Linked DNA regions of Callithrix jacchus. The protein of the gene in region 2 purifies or fractionates together with the protein of the main gene of each other region. This does not show direct contact. Links are inferred from orthologs where the notes say so. Each region holds a gene or a part of one and is shown on either strand. Other genes may lie near its edges.

Evidence for each region.
Region 1: the proteins of BRK1 (region 2) and ABI1 purify together in Homo sapiens (co-immunoprecipitation; 3 studies listed by BioGRID and IntAct, with this or other methods). This does not show direct contact. The link is inferred for Callithrix jacchus from reciprocal best matches to the Homo sapiens genes BRK1 and ABI1.

The regions. Positions count from the first base shown.
Region 1 is NC_133508.1:27,127,038-27,130,792, forward strand, and holds part of ABI1 (abl interactor 1), read right to left. Parts: intron 1,766-3,755; coding exon 1,590-1,765; 3' UTR 1-1,589. UniProt on the Homo sapiens protein: May act in negative regulation of cell growth and transformation by interacting with nonreceptor tyrosine kinases ABL1 and/or ABL2. May play a role in regulation of EGF-induced Erk pathway activation. Involved in cytoskeletal reorganization and EGFR signaling.
Region 2 is NC_133516.1:67,298,048-67,301,802, reverse strand, and holds the end of BRK1 (protein BRICK1), read right to left. Parts: intron 1,952-3,755; coding exon 1,869-1,951; intron 1,310-1,868; coding exon 1,283-1,309; 3' UTR 378-1,282; downstream 1-377. UniProt on the Homo sapiens protein: Involved in regulation of actin and microtubule organization. Part of a WAVE complex that activates the Arp2/3 complex. As component of the WAVE1 complex, required for BDNF-NTRK2 endocytic trafficking and signaling from early endosomes.

The DNA.
Region 1 (3,755 bases), on a different chromosome or scaffold from region 2:
AATTAAGAGAACAATCCACTTGAAAAATGAAAAGTAGAAGGTAGCTACCTGATCACTAATGACACTGTTTAAAATTAACGAAGGCAAAATGCACATGAAATAGTCACATTGATTTGATAACAGTAATGGTCTTTAATTTTCCGAAATAAATGTTTTGCACTATTCTTACCATTCACTATGCTGTTAAGTCTGTAATGTCCAGTATATAACAGAATTTGAGTTCCAAAAAAATCCTCAATAACACAAACCCACACTTGAGTGTTCTACTTTAATATCCTAGACAATATAGAATTATACACAAGATAGGAAGAGAAAACATCCCTCAACCCTCCCTTAAGAGGAGACACACAAAGTGCATGTGTTGCATTTCGATCACGTCAAAAGAGTACAAGTCTGTTGGTCAGGTAAATCTCTGTTCACTGATTAATACATGACCCACCTTCTTTCCCCATTTTAAAATTCTAATGTTGCTAGTGCCAGGTAATGGATTCAATAGTGCCTATTCACAAATCAACTGCATCCACTTTTACAATATGTAAAAGGTACCTTTAATTTCCTTTCATTGATCCAGCGTACAACAGCGCACTGTAAAACTGAAAGACATGGCAATCCTTAAGAATTTTACCTACAGAATGCACACAATTTGACACATTTTCTTAGCTTCAAAAGATTCTTTAAAAAAGGAACTCAGTAGACTGACTCATAAATACCACTGCAGATTCTGAATCTGCAAACTCCGTCACATTGCTGTTGGGACAGATTGAGATAAGGCTAAAATTTTTTTCCAAGTTAATATATTGAGAAAATAGAACCATAATTCTTCAATAAATCATCATCTTTTATTATTTTTTTTAAAGCAAACCAATGAAGGAAAGGACAAAAACCTTTGGTTCACTTATTTATGAATGGAAAAAATTTATAATGCAAATTTCACTCATTAAAAAACTTAGGTACAAATTACAACATTACAGATAATTCTCTTTTTGCTTCTTTGTTTCACATGGAGACCTTGAAGACTCAATTCATTTTTAAGACACCTAAGTACGAGTCCTCCAGGTAAGTATTACACAAATTGGAAGCATCTTGGAATTTTTAAGTATATTTCAAGACATAAATTTTTATGCATGCTTTAAACAAACAGTATTTTTTTAAATGAGAGATTCTAACCAAAAAAGTATGACCAGCACCAGCATTTAAATCTTCTGATTTTAATATTAGTCTGACATAGCGTTAGTAACCATGCTGCACTGAAACATGTAATGGTACAATCTGAATCATGATTCGTTAAATATTATACCCCATTTCCCCAGAATATTTAGGCTGGTCATCAAGTTAAAAATGTGTAAGTACATAAGCATAATCAGTTATGGACAGCTTCTTGTATAAACTGCTATTTAGCAATATACAAACTGCCTCAAAGATTTATGCTTACAGGTAGACATTCAATTTACCAATAAAACAGCATGTCCTGAAAATATGGGCACATTTTAAAACATATTAAGACAGGTCTGTTAACCATAATAGTCCCACAGTATGACTGAGTAATAAGAATCTACTTTAAAAGCAAAAAAAAAAAAAAAAAAAAAAAATTAATCAGTATAGTGCATGATTGATTCAACATAGTTCCCAGGGAACAAACCAGTCACTCGATTGCAGACTCCTTCATACCAGCCATCATCATTCTTCTTTATAACATAAATGATTGCACCCTCCATAAATGACAGCTCATCATCCTTGTCTTTTGTATAATCATATATTGCAACAACTATGGGGGAAAAAAAAAGTTGAAATATCACATGAATGCACTATATCCAACATTTACTTGAATTTTAAGACAATGCCAATTAAATATACAGCACAGCAAACCAACTATTTTTATGAAGATTCTTAATTCTTATATTTATCAATATAAGTATGTCAGTGGCCAAACATGTATTTAAATCACTGGCTTAATCTTAGGACCAAATGACAATCTGATTAGACTGAAGAGGCCAATAGGTTCTGTCAATCTCTTTAAGAAAGCTCTCTGAATTTTAAAATTTATTAGATGTTTTAATTCATTCAAATATCTACCAAGTGCCTATCATATGCAAAGAACAGCTTTTCAAGATAATTATAAGGCAAAGAAAGCTGCATAGCCATTCAGTAGCATGTAACAACCCAAGCTATCCAATTTGAAAATACACAGTTACTGGAAGGTAAATCACATCCTCCTTATTCAGGGACCCATGCTAATTTGTGGGACTACTCCCAGATTTCTTGAAAAGGAATATTTACTTACTCTTAAAGGATTTTAATTAATACTTAGAGAACTTTGCAATTCTGTGGTATCTGTGATTCTTTTCAGTTCAAGATACAGGTTGAGTAACCCTTATCTGGAATGCCTGGGATCAAAACTCCTTTGGATTTGGGAATTTTTTCAGATTTAGAATTTTACATACATATAATGAGATATCTTGGAGGTGGGAACCAAGTCTAAACACAAAACTCATTTTTGTTTCACATACACATAGCCTGAAGGTAATTTTATTCTTCCCCTGGGAACACTAAATCAACTGTGTCATTCGCCTGCATTTTGACCATGACCCATCACATGAGGTCAGGTGTGCAATTTTCCACTTGCGGCATCATGTTGGCATTCAATAGTTTCAGATTTTGGAGCATTTTAAATTTGGGGCTTTCAGATAGGGATGCACAGCCTATATTCATTTCCTTTGCAAACTTGTAGAGAGAGAAAGCAATCTAAAATGTACAAAATGGCCTATGGACAAATCCAAACCACTGCATTTTGTGAAAATAAAGTTTGATTGCAAGAGGGCCACATCTACTTACTCATTTATTGTCTATGTCTGCTTTTACACTACCACAGCAGGACTGAGTAGTTGTGACAGAGACTGTATAGCCAGCAAAATTTAAAATATTTACTATCTGGCTTTGTACCCAAAAAAGTGTGCTCACCCCTAGTTTAGGATTATTATTCCAACTTGGGAAGATACTTTTTAATCCTGCTCTTCTATCAAGTATATTAACCAATATATCATTCCTAATTTGTCAACTTATATAAATATGGTCCCATTTTCATAGTTAAATTTGCTTTACCAAATAAGCAAATTATAGGTAAAATCTCGATTCAAGACCACTCAAGTTTATCATCCTCGTAAGTAATAACACCTATTTGAAGGTACATGGGAATCTTAAGTAGAATATTTAAGACTTTCTTAACAATATGTAAATTATCGGCCTGGTGCCGTGGCTCACAAGGTCAAGAGATCAAGACCACCTAGCCAACATAGTGAAACCCTGTCTCCACTAAAGTACAAAAATTAGCTGGGCATGGGGGTGCATGCCTATAGTCCCAGCTACTCGGGAGGCTGAGGCAGGAGAATTGCTTGAACCTGGGAGGCAGAGGTTGCAGTGAGCCGAGATGGTGCCACTGCACTCCAGCCTGCCGCCTGGTGATGGAGTGAGACTCTGTCTCAAAAAAAGAAAAAAAAAAAGAAAACAAATTTACTTTTGCCACATATCCAAAACTTGGGCAGGAAAGAATGCTGCTGGTCGAAAGAGTTACAGCTACTTAAAGTCCATTAACCCAATTAAAGCCAATAGAAGGAAATATATTTCAAAGGCAACCAAAAGTCATCAATTAAATCACAAGAATTTTTCACAACTCTATAGAAATACAGATTTTATTTTTAATTGATTCCCACTTCTACTGAAAGACAGATTTTTAAATAGCACAGAACTGAATGAAAAAA
Region 2 (3,755 bases):
GCTGAAGCACACTATCAGCATGCTAGGATGGGGAGGAACTAAGAAGAGGAACAGGGCAATACTAAATGGAAAAATCAAGTCCAGGAGAACTTTCAGGGGGAAGTTTGCCTTGAGCTAGACTTTGAATGGCAAACATGATTTGAATTGAGAGAAATTAATGTATACAGAGCATAATGACTTCTGTATGACTAAAACAGAGATTCTATATAGTGGATAAGCCTTAACAAGTAGGTTGGTACAAGTAAGCTTTGGTTTAAACCATTTGTTTTTCAAAGAAGTAGACATTTAGCGTGTACCTTATAAAACTAATAATCTGCCTTGGATTGTGGCTAAATTGTGTAAATGCTGGTATTTCAACAGACTGTAAGCATCATGTCTGATTCAATGCTGTATCTTTTATTGGAGTTTAACATGCCTACATAGTAAGTACTTGGTAAATGTGCTGAATGATGAATTGATTCCCAGGATGCACTAGTCAGCTTAAAGTCCAAACATGGGGACTTGGGCTGGTAAGCCACCCAGGCTTTGAATCAAACAGCTATATCTGAAAGTTTTATGTTAGAATAATAATGCCATATATACATTTCTGTGGAATAAGCAAGCCCATCTCTAGCTCCTCTCCCCACCATAATCACAGCAGTCAGATAAAATTGAGGAGTTTATTAGGGAAATATAAGAGGCACGGACACCCCAAGTGACAGAAAGAAAAGTTTGAAAATGTCCCTTCAAGCCAAGTGGGGGCCTGGTCTTGACCTCCCCAAATCAACAAGAAACTGGTGGGTTAGCAACAACATTCTCTGGCAGCCACATTGCCAGGGCATGTGTGTTTTGGCCAGGACTGCCCCCCACTTCCCACCAAAGGTGGGGAGGAGACAAAGACTGTTCACAGAAGCAGTGCAAAGGCAATGAGAATTTTAAGGAAAGTTTGAGAGAGAGAGAGAGAGAGAGAGAGAGAGAAAGGACAGAGGTAGGGAGGACCTTCACAAAGAGTCCCAGGCTTTTGGCTGTGAATATTTCAAATACATTGACAAGTAGATCTATAAAATGTTACTGAAAAGGTAAAATGCCTAATGTTGTTTCCAACAGTTCCTCTGGACTTCTCCCCACATACCACACCACATCCCAGATGGCAGAGACCAAAGGTCACACTTTTGAAAAAAGAAAAACAAGAATAAGCCCTGTTGTTCTTTAAGGAGAAAGGAAGGAGCTGAAGGCTGCTGGGGCCTTTCCCATGTGGCCTGTGTTCTGTAAAGCAACTCCCCAGCAGCAGGACGGCACTGTTCTAGGTGAGTGTCTCACCTTTTGTCACCTGTGAAAGGAAAGGAAAACTGACATTTAGATAAATTAAAATATATTAGAGGGATCTTTAAAAAAAAAAATCATACTTTAGATCCTAAGCAGTGAGAAATAGAAAAGAACACAGCTGTGAGTCACAGAAACCTGTTCAAATCCAGGCAATGTGTTTAACTTTTTCTTTTTTTGAGACCGAGTCTCACTATGCCACCCAGGCTGGAGTGCCCTGGTGTGATCTTGGCTCACTGCAACCTCCACCTCCCGGCTTCAAGTGATTCTCCCGCCTCAGCCTCCCAAGTAGCTAGGATTATAGGTGCATACCACTATGCTGGCTAATTTTTGTATTTATAGCAGAGACGGGTTTCACTATGTTGGCCAGGCTGGTCTCAAACTCCTGACCTCAGGTGATTCACCCACCTCAGCCTACCAAAGTGGAAGTGTTGCAATTACAGGCATGAGCCACCATGTCTGGCCGGTGCTTAAGTTTCCTAAGACTGTTTCTGCTTTCAGGTTTTTGTCAGCAGTAAGTGGAAATATGCATTCTCTCTTGGAATGGCCTTGCCCATCATACTCACCCGTGCTTCAATGTACTCTATTCTCCGTTCAAGGGCTGTCAACTTCTCGTTTAGTGTTGCAAGTCTTGAACGACATGACATATCTGGGAAAAAGAGACTGGCATTTAGGACTAATGTCACTCCAAACACAGACACACATAACTCCTACACTGAAAAGAGAAATAATATAATACACAGAATACAAATGGAAGTGGATACAGTGAGAAGTAATAATGTAATAAACAGAATATAAATGGAAGTGGATACAGTGAGGAGTAATAATGTAATACACAGAATACAAATGGAAGTGGATACAGTGAGAAGTAATAATATAATACACAGAATACAAATGGAAGTGGATACAGTGAGGAGTAATAATATAATACACAGAATACAAATGGAAGTGGATACAGTGAGGAGTAATAATATAATACACAGAATACAAATGGAAGTGGATACAGTGAGAAGTAATAATGTAATAAACAGAATACAAATGGAAGTGGATACAGTGAGGAGTAATAATGTAATACACAGAATACAAATGGAAGTGGATACAGTGAGGAGTAATAATGTAATACACAGAATACAAATGGAAGTGGATACAGTGAGGAGTAATAATGTAATACACAGAATACAAATGGAAGTGGATACAGTGAGGAGTAATAATGTAATACACAGAATACAAATGGAAGTGGATACAGTGAGGAGTAATAATATAATACACAGAATACAAATGGAAGTGGATACAGTGAGGAGTAATAATATAATACACAGAATACAAATGGAAGTGGATACAGTGAGGAGTAATAATATAATACACAGAATACAAATGGAAGTGGATACAGTGAGAAGTAATAATGTAATAAACAGAATACAAATGGAAGTGGATACAGTGAGGAGTAATAATGTAAAAAACAGAATACAAATGGAAGTGGATACAGTGAGAAGTAATAATGTAATAAACAGAATACAAATGGAAGTGGATACAGTGAGAAGTAATAATGTAATAAACAGAATACAAATGGAAGTGGATACAGTGAGGAGTAATAATATAATACACAGAATACAAATGGAAGTGGATACAGTGAGGAGTCATAATGTAATACACAGAATACAAATGGAAGTGGATACAGTGAGGAGTCATAATGTAATACACAGAATACAAATGGAAGTGGATACAGTGAGGAGTAATAATGTAATAAACAGAATACAAATGGAAGTGGATACAGTGAGGAGTAATAATGTAATAAACAGAATACAAATGGAAGTGGATACAGTGAGAAGTAATAATGTAATAAACAGAATACAAATGGAAGTGGATACAGTGAGAAGTAATAATGTAATAAACAGAATACAAATGGAAGTGGATACAGTGAGGAGTAATAATATAATACACAGAATACAAATGGAAGTGGGTAAGTGAGAAGTATCTTAGCACAGTTGCTTAGAGTGGATCTCTTGAACTTCCTATCGGGTGTGGCAAGTAGTGAATAATGGCCCCATAAAAATGTCCTTTACCGCCTGGCGCAATGGCTCACAACTGTAATTCTAGCACTTTGGGAGGCTTAGATTGGTGGATCACCTGATTTCAAGAGTTCAGGGCCAGCCTGGTCAACATGGTAAAACCCTATCTCTTACTAAAAATACAAAAATTAGGCAGTCGTGGTGGCACATCTGCAATCCGGCTACTTGAGAGGCTGAGGCAGGAGAATTGCTTAAACCCAGGGGACAGAGGTTGCAGTGAGCTCAGATCATGTCATTTCACTTCAGCCTGGGTAAAAAAGCAAAAGTCTGTCTCACAAAAATATCCTTTCCCTAATTCCTGGAGCCTGCAAATATGGATCATACATGAGGAAACAGGGCTTTGCAAGTATGATTAAGGTTAAGAACCTTGAGATCCTAGAGTTT